2 linked regions of the Ovis aries genome follow. The protein of the gene in region 1 purifies or fractionates together with the protein of each later gene. This does not show direct contact. Links are inferred from orthologs where the notes say so. Each region holds a gene or a part of one and is shown on either strand. Other genes may lie near its edges.

Evidence for each region.
Region 2: the proteins of SMC2 (region 1) and NCAPG2 purify together in Homo sapiens (affinity purification with western blotting; 4 studies listed by BioGRID and IntAct, with this or other methods). This does not show direct contact. The link is inferred for Ovis aries from reciprocal best matches to the Homo sapiens genes SMC2 and NCAPG2.

The regions. Positions count from the first base shown.
Region 1 is NC_056055.1:18,961,983-18,968,483, reverse strand, and holds part of SMC2 (structural maintenance of chromosomes protein 2), read left to right. Parts: intron 1-212; coding exon 213-406; intron 407-1,474; coding exon 1,475-1,618; intron 1,619-4,652; coding exon 4,653-4,847; intron 4,848-6,501. UniProt on the Homo sapiens protein: Central component of the condensin complex, a complex required for conversion of interphase chromatin into mitotic-like condense chromosomes.
Region 2 is NC_056057.1:120,930,982-120,937,482, forward strand, and holds part of NCAPG2 (condensin-2 complex subunit G2), read right to left. Parts: intron 5,886-6,501; coding exon 5,745-5,885; intron 4,481-5,744; coding exon 4,377-4,480; intron 550-4,376; coding exon 449-549; intron 1-448. UniProt on the Homo sapiens protein: Regulatory subunit of the condensin-2 complex, a complex which establishes mitotic chromosome architecture and is involved in physical rigidity of the chromatid axis.

The DNA of each region.
Region 1 (6,501 bases):
TTTAGATAATTCAAGTATGGCTCTAAGGTATGACCTGTGTTTTCAACATACTATTTCTAGGATAAAGTTAGAACAGTTAATTTTTTTTAAACTCTTGACTCCAACTTTCTATACCTTTTCTTCTCTTAAAAGTTGAATTTGTAAGCCCTTTTCTGTAGCTGTTACTAGTTGGAAGATCTCATTTAGTTGTATTTGCCTGCTTTATAATGCAGAGGAAAGTGAGGAGACCTTAAAAAACACCAAAGAAATTCAGAAAAAAGCTGAAGAAAAATATGAGGTGTTGGAGAATAAAATGAAAAATGCTGAAGCTGAAAGAGAGAAAGAACTGAAGGATGCACAGAAAAAACTAGATTGTGCCAGAACTAAAGCAGATGCTTCTAGCAAAAAAATGAAAGAAAAACAACAGGTAATTTTTTTTAATAGAATTAATCTTTTAACATCAGCGTAGAACTGAAGGGTGGTAGAGCACCATTGGTTGACATGGCCTTCTTCATCGATATGTGTCACAAATCAAAAAGTGAGAGACAAAGTTGCTTGATAAAGGTTTGATTTTGATAATGTTTCATTCAGGAGTGGACCAAAGCTTGTATCATGTAAGCCAAGCTGTGTCTTATCAGAGAATCACTGTTGACGTTTCTGTTTGGTGATCATCTGTTTGAACAGACACTGTGAAGGAATAATGATGGCAAAGCATGTTATATTTGCAGTGCTATTCAGTTGTAGACTATTTTGGATAGTTTCAAGGCTGGAATTTGAACCTATGTTTTTCTGTTTACAAAGAAGGCTACATGCTCAATCACTATTCTATACAATTTCACTATTGAATACAGTTTCACTTAAATCTAACTTTGCTTCACAGTTCTTTTTAAACCCACCTTATGATTCTACTATTAAATATTTAGCTTTATACAAAGCATTTTGTAAAGAACTAAAGGCTATAATGGGAAAGAAGAGAAGCTATTTTTTTTTGTCATTAAATAATTGTTTAAAAAAGGTTTTTAACCTCTCCTAATTTATCTGCTATATAGAATTCTGTATTATTTTTCTCTATAGGAATAAAAGGATGAAATAGTTTATGCAGAGTTCTTTGAACCCATAAAAATTGTATGTACATTTTTTAATATAGAAAAATAAATTCATTTTCCCTTTTTCTTCTTTGGAAGCAGCTTACATGTTTTCAGTAATTGAGTAAGCTATGGTCCTTACTTGCTTAAGTATCTTATTAGTTTTGCTGAAGTGAAGTCGCTCAGTCATGTCCGACTCATTGTGACCCAATGGACTGTAGCCTACTGGGCTCCTCTGTCCATGGGATTTTCCAGGCAAGAATACTGGAGTGGGTTGCCATTTCTTTCTCCAGGGGAACTTCCCAACCCAGGGATCTAACCTGGGTCTCCCGCATTGTAGGCAGACGCTTTACTGTCTGAGCCACAGTAGTTGGTAACTATTGAATGCCCAGATGCTGTGTTTTTTATAGGAAGTTGAAGCTATCACCCTGGAGCTGGAGGAGCTCAAGAGAGAGCATGCATCCTATGAACAACAGCTTGAAGCTGTAAAGGAAGCTATCATATCCTACGAGGGTCAGATTGCAGTAATGGCCTCTGAGGTGGCTAAAAATGAGGTGAGAGTGATTTAACCACATTAGAGAAATACAGATATCAGTCTGCTTCTGAAATGGTGGCTTAAAGATGTTTGACTTCAGAGGTCTCAGTCTCTTCACCCCTGTCATGATGAGAGGGAAAATGATGACTACCAATCAGAAAGAGTCCTGAAATAATATCACTAATTGTTTTAGTCCAGGTCTATTGGAAAATGAAAACACCCAGTAATTTGACCAGGCCGAGTTTAAATAAAAATTATTAACTATAACAGGAATTTGGAATGATGTATGACTGGATTGCTAAGGGGTAGAGAAAACTCTAAAGAATGAATAGCAGATATAGGAGCAGTTATTACCTATAAGCTGAAGCAGTGCACCCCCAGAAGGAACAAATCTGGAAAAGAGCCCCATTCTACCTGCAAGGCTGATAACTACATGTAGTTGGAAAACACATTATTGTGGCCCTCTGGTGGTGGGGTTTGGTGTAGTAGGGAAACCATGCTGAGCAAAGTGCTGCACAGGACATCTGCTGGGAAAACAGCTTTCTGGGACACCAGGGGGACTGGCCACAGGGAGGTGCCCAGCCTGTGAACAGGCTGCAAAGACTGCTGCTGGGTATGCCATGTAAGTGACAACCTTGCCTTTGAGAAAAGCACATCAGAACCAAGAAGTGAAGCCCCTTCCTTCTCCAGTGTCCCTAAAGCATCCTTTACTGATGAGGCTTCATATTGTTACACTCGGCAAGGGAGAGTTGTTCCCATCTCAGAAGCAGGCAGTGAAGGGTGGATTTGGGGTACGAGGTTTCATGTTGTGAAGATATTTCTATTTCCTGCAAATATTAGAAATGCTCCCTCATGAATATTGGATACCCTCTTGACCCTTTCTTTGATTTTGACCTTGAATTCTGTTTTGTTTCATTATTTCTACTCATACTTTTTAAAACTCAGATTTAATTGGCATAACATTTATATTGGTTTCAGGTGTACAATATAATGGTTCAACATTTTAATATATTGTGAAATGATCACCCCATAGCAGGTTTTTTTCTTGTGATGAGAACTTTTTAAGATGTGCTGTCTTAGCAACTTTGAAATACATAGTAGTAGTTATTATTACTACTGTCACCATGCCCTACAAAGTGTAACCACCTTTGGTTTTTTGATACACCTTTTTGTTGTTGTTGTTAGTTTTCTGTTCTGTTGCAGTTATGTACTTTTTGTAGGTCATGTTAACTAAAATGTAATAGCTTCTAACAGGGGCATTCCATCCATTTACCTAGGATATAGTAAAGTGTGTTTTTTTTGCCTTTTGTCCTCTACTTTTACATTTCCTGTTACATTTTTTCCTTGAGATGATTGTTTTAATTGCTGTAGTGTGCATTGTTTTAGAAAGTAGTTCTTTTCTCTTCTATTTGTGGTTAAACTCAAGGGTTTTTTTTAACACATTATCAAATCAATAGCAGAACAATTTTTTAACTATCTTTTTGAATCAGGGTTCAAAATGCTTTTCAGCTTTGTGTTTTGTCTTGCTGATTACCTTTTCTACAGTTTCTTTTCTGCCTTCTGACTTGCCTTTTTGTCTCATTCCTCCATATCTTCTACCATCTTTCATGGACGTCATGTTGTGGAATTTTTTTTAAAATTAGATGTCATATTTTTAAAGAGAAATGTGGAAGTAAAATAAGTCACTTCTTCCTTGATCTAAATAATGATAAAATCAAAAGCATATACATATTTCGATAAAGAGAATATCTATTTTTCTATGGAAAACTATAAAATGTATCTCTAAGTTTGTAAATGTTGTTCTTTTAGTCTCTATATTCTAAATTGTTTCTGTTTGCCCTCTTAGGGAGCTAAGAAGATAAATTGCCTTCAAATTAATTATGTTCAAACGAAACTAAAAACTTTGGCTCAATCTGAAGTGATAGATATCCTTGTTTTTCTCTTAACCATTGTAGATTGAAACAGTTACACCTATGACACCATCTTCAGTCTTTAGGTGTGAGAGAATCAGCTTAATAAACATGTTTTTGTCATGCGCTTTTGTTTTGGATTTTTTAGATGAATGCTGAGATTTAACTTCCTCCTGCAAAGGACCTTTTATGACACAAACATTATAAAGAAATTACTTATGTCATGTTCAATAACTTAACCATAATGTCAGGTATTGTTTATCGCTCAAAATTATCTTGTTTTCTAATGAGCATGCCTTAAAAAATTCCTAAATTTTTACTGACGCTTATCGTCACTTCAAGATATCTATTCTTCCTCAGTCTTTTAGCAAGTTGTTCTACTCTTTGTTTTTCCCTACCTAAATCTGAATTGAGCTAGGTTCTTTTTTTTCAGATGTTTGTGTGAGTTTGTGACCATATCTTTACCAGAAAGACCTTTAAGATCTAGCAAAGAACTTTCATGGGGAGGAGGTGAGAGTTGGTAGACTAAATCCCAGCTGTAATTTTCACTTCGGAGACAAACCGATGATACTAAAAGAGTGAGAAGTTTTTCTTTGTGCCACAGATATGTTTCTTCAAAAAGTTTCTCTTCCTCTTCCATATCTCTGTTTTAACCCCTGTGCTAGAACTAAACACCCTGACCTTTTGTTGCCACTGTCAGAGGCCTTATGGCTTACTTCTGTAGAAGGGAAAGGAACCAATGCCAGCTTACCTTACTTCCACCTCCATTCTTTGCCTTCATAATAAATGGCATTTGGGGGTCTGTCATATTATTTTGTAACCACCACCAGAATCCCACTCTTTTGAGAGACCGTACAGGGCAAATCCCAGTAACCCCTCCTCCACCTAGGTGATCCCAGTTTTACTGTGTCACAGGAACTTTGTTGCTTCCAGCATGAACAATGCATCGCATCCCTTTTTCCGTAGTGGTAATACAAGTTTTATTTGTAAATGTGTTAGTCATTTTCATGGGGATATAAAATGTAGAAGGTTAGATGACACATTGCCTGTGTCACATAGAAGTCTGTTGGATGATCTTTCAGTAAACCAAAAAATGTCTCCATCTTACCTTGCTGTATGTTATCTTGTAATTATTCATTGCAGGAGTTAGTAAACAAAGCTCAGGAAGAGGTGACCAAGCAAAAAGAAGTGATAACAGCCCAAGACAACATAATTAAAGCTAAATATGCAGAAGTAGCAAAACACAAGGAGCAAAACAATGACTCTCAGCTTAAAATTAAGGAACTGGACCATAACATCAGCAAACATAAACGGGAAGCTGAAGATGCTGCTGCAAAGGCATGTTTGTATTGTTCACTTTTATTTTTAATCAAATTTTTGCCTCTGGGTTTTTGAAATGTTCTGGTAAAGTGCTCAGTGAAGAACTTAACTGTAAATGGCAGAACTACTGTGTAACAATTTTGAGGCATGCAACTATGACTGCTTCTCAGCAGTCACCAAATGGCAAAAATGTTTTATTTTTAAATTTAATCTCAGGGGCTTTATTCCCATCTCCAAGATGTTTTTAACCAAATATTGAATGGCCTCCCATGGAAATGACTGTTTTTTTTAATCCCCAGTTGTTCATAGAACTAATTACTAATGTATTAATAGTAGTAATATGTATTCTTTACCTAATTGCAAATTGAATTTAGGGAACTCACAGAGAAGTATCCACAAGGTACTTCTGAAGTAAGGACTTAGTTGGTTTAGGATATCCTTATGAGGGTTAGTATAGTCAATGTTCGAAGTCTCATTTGAAATCTGACATTTTGCCAGGCAGTGTCTTTGAAGTTATCCCACAGTTTATTGGTCACTCTTAATTAAAATTTCTTTCATGTATCACAGTAACCTAAGTACTTTAAAGAAAATACATAGTTTTGCAGGAATTCATTGCTTAGTTAGGAGGCTTCATTTATGTGGTTTTAATAATTCACTCATCATGTTTTCTTACTGGTGTGTAACAGTTTGGTGCCTTTTAAATCTTTTTTAGCATCATAAAAGTACAAGAGATTTAATTTCAAAAAGATGAGAACATACAAAACAGTCTTCCACCCTTTTCTGCAAGAGCCATGATTGCCTGTTCAGGTTCATTACTTTGTTTAAAAAGCATTTTTTTAATGACCACATGATAATATCCTAATATTTTATTAGTATTGATTTCCCATTTGCCTAGTAGCCTAGTATTAGTGGATTCACTGAACTATTACCAATGCTAATATTACTGTTAATAGGTTTTTTTAAAAATATAATTGACAATACTAGTATTGGTGGTTGCTAGGGGATTCTATTTACAGTTAAGTGAAGAGGGTACAAAGAGCGACTTGCAAGCAGAACTGCTAAAAAGTCAAGTATTCTTTAAAATACATAGTTTATCAAATATTTATTGTATACTTGTACCAGGCACTGACTTCCCTGGTGGTGCAGATGGTAAAGTATCTGCCTACAATGCAGGAGACCTGGGTTTGATCCCTGGGTCGGGAAGATCCCCTGGAGAAAGAAATGGCAACCCACTCCAGTACTCTTGCCTGGAAAATCCCATGGATGGAGGAGCCTGGTAGGCTACAGTCCATGGGGTCGCAAAGAGTCGGACACAACTGAGTGACTTCACTTTCACTTTACCAGGCACTAAAGATACAAGAATGAGCAACATGCCACAGAATGTGTTCATGGTGCTCACAGATGAGCAGGAAAAAAAGATAGACTAGAAATGACCATATTACTTTGAAGTCTGGTGGTGTGACTGTACTCATGGGATTAATAAGGATGATTGACAAGGATTAGCTTTCAGCAGTCAGTACCAATCTTAAACAGTTATAGTAGAAGAAAGTCTTCTTAAGCACTATAATTAAAAATCCTTAATGGTTATATTACATGAGTATTTTACTGTGCCTTGTCAATGAGGGTAGCAAGGGGATGGAGTCAATATTTAAGATAATGTTTTACTTAGATT
Region 2 (6,501 bases), on another chromosome or scaffold:
CTCAGAGGTATCTCTGTTTTTCCAGTAGTATTTCAACTGGCTATAACACTCAAGAGTACACACAGTTAAGCAAAACACAGATACGTAGAATATTAATACCAAAACACACCATCTTTGGCAAAAATGATTCTGACTCTTAAACATACACGATAAAGCCAATAAATGACAAAGCAACAGACATTTGGTCTGAGGTACAGAGAAGGAGAAATAATGTGTCCTGGGAAGAGTGGACAGGAGATATGTTAGGGAACTATTGTGATTCATGCTGGTACAGGGCAGCTACACAGCAGACGCCCAGGCAGACAGCACATGTGTGGAACATGGAAAGCTGGGGAAAGCGCCTTGAGAGCCTGACTGGCAGGCAACTCGTTCCCAAACATTCTAAAATGGATCAATGTAAGACACACTCAGCAGTATCACAGATAATATAAGAGGAGACTTCACCAACCTTTATTAATAACCAAGATAATGTGCACAACAGCTGTGAGACATACGATGCCTTCAATATCCTCAGAAATGACACAAGCCTTCAATTCATCTAAAAAAGACCTGAAACAAAGAAAACAATGCGATTACTTAATGACACATCTTAATCCATTATAGAAAGACAAAGAATGGCCAAGATTCATCAGTGCCGTTCAGTCCAGTCGCTCAGTCGTGTCCGACTCTCTGCGACCCCAAAAATCGCAGCACGCCAGGCCTCCCTGTCCATCACCATCTCCCGGAGTTCACTCAGACTCACGTCCGTCGAGTCCGTGATGCCATCCAGCCATCTCATCCTCGGTCGTCCCCTTCTCCTCCTGCCCCCAATCCCTCCCAGCATCAGGGTCTTTTCCAATGAGTCCCCTCTTCTCATGAGGTGGCCAAAGTACTGGAGTTCCAGCTTTTGCATCATTCCTTCCAAAGAAATCCCAGGGCTGATCTCCTTCAGAATGGACTGGTTGGATCTCCTTGCAGTCCAAGGGACTCTCAAGAGTCTTCTCCAACACCACAGTTCAAAAGCATCAATTCTTCGGCGCTCAGTCTTCTTCACAGTCCAACTCTCACATCCATACATGACCACAGGAAAAACCACAGCCTTGACTAGATGGACCCTAGTCGGCAAAGTAACGTCTCTGCTTTTGAATATGCTATCTAGGCTGGTCATAACTTTCCTTCCAAGGAGTAAGCATCTTTTAATTTCATGGCTGCAGTCACCATCTGTAGTGATTTTTGAGCCCCCCAAAATAAAGTCTGACACTGTTTCCCCATTATTTCCCATGCAGTGATGGGACCAGATGCCATGATCTCATGCCTGAATGTTGAGCTTTAAGCCAACTTTTTCACTCTCCTCTATCACTTTCATCAAGAGGCTTTTTAGTTCCTCTTCACTTTCTGCCATAAGGGTGGTGTCATCTGCATATCTAAGGTTATTGCTATTTCTCCTGGCAATCTTGATTCCAGCTTGTGTTTCTTCCAGCCCAACATTTCTCATGATGCACTCTGCATATAAGTTAAATAAGCAGGGTGACAATATACAGCCTTGACATACTCCTTTTCCTATTTGGAACCAGTCTGTTGTTCCATGTCCAGTTCTATCTGTTGCTTCCTGACCTGCATATAGGTTTCTGAAGAGTCAGGTCAGGTGGTCTGGTATTCCCATCTCTTTCAGAATTTTCCACAGTTTCTTGTGATCCACACAGTCAAAGGCTTTGGCATAGACAATAAAGCAGAAATAGATGTTTTCTGGAACTCCCTTGCTTTTTCCATGATCCAGTGGATGTTGGCAATTTGATCTCTGGTTCCTCTGCCTTTTCTAAAACCAGCTTGAACATCAGGAAGTTCGCAGTTCACGTATTGCTGAAGCCTGGCTTGGAGAATTTTGAGCATTCCTTTACTAGCATGTGAGATGAGTGCAATTGTGTAGTAGTTTGGGCATTCTTTGCCATTGCCTTTCTTTGGGATTGGAATGAAAACTGACCTTTCCCAGTCCTGTGGCCACTGCTGAGTTTTCCAAATTTGCTGGCATATTGAGTGTAGCACTTTCACAGCATCATCTTTCAGGATTTGAATTAGCTCAACTGGAATTCCATCACCTCCACTAGCTTTGTTCGTAGTGATGCTTTCTAAGGCCCACTTGACTTCACATTCCAGGATGTCTGGCTCTAGCAGAGTGATCACACCATCGTGATTACCTTGGTTGTAAAGCTCTTTTGTACAGTTCTTCTGTGTATTCTTGTCACCTCTTCTTAGTATCTTCTGCTTCTGTTAGGTCCAGACCATTTCTGTCCATTATCGAGCCTATCTTTGCATGAAATGTTCCCTTGGTATCTCTAAATTTTCTTGAAGAGATCTCTAGTCTTTCCCATTCTGTTATTTTCCTCTATTTCCCCACACTGATCACTGAGGAACGCTTTCTTATCTCTTCTTGCTATTCTTTGGAACTCTGCATTCAGATGCTTATATCTTTCCTTTTTTCCTTTGCTTTTCACTTCTCTTCTTTTCACAGCTATTTGTAAGGCCTCCTTGACAGCCATTTTTTGTTTTTTGCATTTCTTTTCCATGGGGATGGTCTTGATCCCTGTCTCCTATACAATGTCATGAATCTCCATCCATAGTTCATCAGGCACTCTATCTATCAGATCTAGTCCCCTAAATCTATTTCTTACTTCCACTGTATAATCATAAGGGATGTGATTTAGGTCATACCTGAATGGCCTAGTGGTTTTCCCTACTTTCTTCAATTTAAGTCTGAATTTGGCAATAAAGAGTTCAGGATCTGAGCCACACTCAGCTCCCTGACTGTATAGAGCTTCTCCATCTTTGGCTGCAAAGAATATAATCAATCTGATTTCGGTGTTGACCATCTGGTGATGTCCATGTGTAGAGTCTTCTCTTGTGTTGTTGGAGGAGGGTGTTTGCTATGACCAGTGTGTCCTCTAGGCAAAACTTTATTAGCCTTTGCCCTGCTTCATTCCATACTCCAAGGCCAAATTTGCCTGTTACTCCAGGTGTTTCTTGACTTTCTACTTTTGCATCCCAGTCCCCTATAATGAAAAGGACATCTTTTTTGGGTGTTAGTTCTAAAAGGTCTTGTAGGTCTTCATAGAACCATTCAACTTCAGCTTCTTCAGCATTACTGGTTGGGGCATAGACTTGGATTACTGTGATATTGAATGGTTTGCCTTGGAAATGAACAGAGATCATTCTGTCATTTTTGAGATTGCATCCAAGTACTGCATTTTGGACTCTTTTGTTGACCATGATGGCTACTCCATTTCTTCTAAGGGATTCCTGCCTACAGTAGTAGATATAATGGTCATCTGAGTTAAATTCACCCATTCCAGTCCATTTTAGTTTGCTGATTCCTAGAATGTCGACGTTCACTCTTGCCATCTTGTTTGACCACTTCCAATTTGCCTTGATTCATGGACCTGATATTCCAGGTTCCTATGCAATATTGCTCTTTACAGCATCAGACTTTGCTTCTATCACCAGTCACATCCACAGCTGGGTATTGTTTTTGGTTTGGCTCCATCCCTTCATTCTTTCTGGAGTTATTTCTCCACTGATCTCCAGTAGCGTGTTGGGCACCTACCAACCCGGGGAGCTTCCCTTTCAGTATCCTATCATTTTGCCTTTTCATACTGTTCATGGGGTTTTCAAGGCAAGAATACTGAAGTGGTTTGCCATTCCCTTCTCCAGTGGACCACATTCTGTCAGATTCATCAACCACCATGAATTCCAGATTTCAGAGAACGGGAAATACCACGTTTCAGTCACATGGGATGATTAAAGTCTTCCCACACTCTTCACCGTAAGCATGACCAGTCATACAGGTGGGACACTAAAATCAGATGCCGCTGCTAGTAAGAGAACAGAGATGTTCTGGTAAGTGAATGAAGCCCTCTGCGTACTTATAATATCACAAGAAAGACATAATGTGCTATTGAAAGATAATCCACAGCTGTTGAAATGATGCTTTTGGAGTCTGCAGCAAACATACCCACCGTGGAAGGTCCGCAGGCATCAGCCCTCCGCAGGGCTCTCCCTCGTGTGGCCCAGCAGTGCTGCCTGTGCACAGACAGCCTGGAGTCAGGCCAGGTGATACCCACGTGGAGAGACGAGCACGCGCCCAGTGAGAGCCACACGGAGCCTCACCAAGCACCCCCCGTCAGAAGCACTGCGGTGCACAGTAACGCTGCACCTGTTTCCCTCTGAATGAACTGGAGTTACGATAAGCAAAACCAGAGACTGTGTGGATGCGTGTTCCTTTCAGAGAGTTATGATGTCTCTTTGTGGAAGTAGGCTAAATCTTGAGAGTAAAAGGAAGAGAGCTAACGTTACTGGGGGCTTACAGCCAGAGGAGCAAGAAGACAGTAACGAGAAAGGATTACCTGACTATATGTGGAGACCTTAGTATTATTCCTATTAAGCACCTTGAAAATGGCGGAAGGGCTGAAAGGCCCTCTGGCGGGGTGAGCTCTTCCGCATCAGACACCTGAAAGAAAGTCCAGTTAGTAATGTGACCAAGACTGAGACTGGGCTGAGCACTCATTTTATGCTTCTCTGAACTTTCTTACAAACTTGAAAAAGGCTTTCCAGAAACTCAAAATGAGTATTTTTGTTAACTTCTGCAATGGCTATCATAATCATGATTCACAGTGGTATCAATCAATTGGACAGAAGAAAAAACATGTCACTTGACAAGCCCTCTGCCAAACACTCTTTGATTATCTACTTTTGTCAACAGTGTGTTTCTACACTAAGCAAATTTAACTGTTTTTCTTATTAGCCTAGATCAGGTTTTCTCAACTCAAACTTTTTCTATAAAGCAGTAAAATAGTAAATAATAGATAGTAAACATTTTAAACTTTGTGGGCAAAATGATCTCAGCCACAACTACTCAATTCTGCTGTTATAGCACAAAGCAGCCATAGGAAAAAAATGTAAATAAATGGGCCACAGTGGCCCACACGCCACTGATGGACTCACAGTTGTCAGCTGTGTGCCTTGCGGGCCTGAGTAACTTCCAGTTATTAGGCTGTGTATAGGCCAGGAATCACGCTCCTAAACCACAATGATCTCCCTTCAAGCTTTCAGGAGGGCCTGAAATTCTGTTAATGTCCTACAATTTTGTCAACTTCTTTTACATTTGTGATTTCATAATACAACATTTGTAGAAATTGTATGTTTGCATTTATATATTTCCATGGTATTTCCTGTCAATCTCTCCCTTCCATACTGAGAGAAACCCCACCGTTTACTGTCTTCAGGCGCTGCTGCACGCCCTCACACACTAGCATCAGGGCTCCAGGCCCTGACAGCGCACGCTTTATTGTGAGCTGAATCATCATCCTGGTTATGTCGGCCTTGAACCAAGCAGGCTAATCATATGAAACAGGCTCCTGCCAGGATCTGGCCAGTCCTTTATGGACTAGGAGCAAACTATCTGTCTAAACTGATATTACAGATTCAAACTTCCTGTGCTTAAAAGAAAAAGTAACGCTTATGTATCGCACAGCAGTCAGAGATGTGAGCTGCTCCAGAAACAGCACCAGGGCAGTCTCACACCCTGCTCACCGCCAAGCACGGCTGTGAACACAAACCAGCCACGGAACCGTGAGGTGCAGCTATGGAAGAAGCGGACCTCCCGCGGTACCTAAGCTCTGAAAAATAGCTAGAGAAAGGCAAGAACATGCTGCCAGCAGAAAACAGCCTCTTCAGTAGCCAAAACGAGACACAGCAGCTTCGGGACAACGCACCTTCCGGAGCCAGTGGCTTATCTCAACCACAGACGCAGCGATCAGGGTGGAGAACACGCCCCGGTGAACAGGCGTGTCCACGTGCCAGGACTGCACAGTGCTGATGAATTCATGCAGGGGAGTCTGAACAGAGCAAAGGAGCTACGAGAAACACATCAGCCACCGTGAGTCCTGAACAGTCTCCATCAGGGACGCAGCCTCCTCCTGTCTCCGCGGGGCCGAGGCCCGTCCCACCTGACGCCCCTGCTGCCCATGCCCTCCTCTCTGGTGCTGGAGACGACACACAACCCCAAGGGCCCGGGCAGTACCTTAAACACACTCTACCCCAGAGCAGAGAAAAACTCTGAGAACAGGAGCATCAGCAACATTAATAAAGTTCTCAAAACGAAAGAGGAAGAAATATCACTGACATTAAGGGAAGACACCCACTATGAGGCCATGTGTTCTGAACAAAGCTGCACAGCCAATAGTGAGAAAAAAAAAATTCTGGCACAAATTACATGAACAGATCACAGACACCTGAAGAAACTCCTCAAAAACAGGACTTTTTCAAATTAACTCAAATATGACCTAGGCTACAGAAAATACGGCCAATGACCTTCAATTGCCTCTACAAGCTAAAGGTGGAATAAAGTGGAAAGTGCCAATAACTCATGCACACCCTCCCACTGAAGCACTTTCTGAGTCTCCACCCCTAGCAGCTGAGTGCGCACAAGCTACTGCAGTGGGCTCTCCGCTTCTGTCCTGCTGAGCGGAA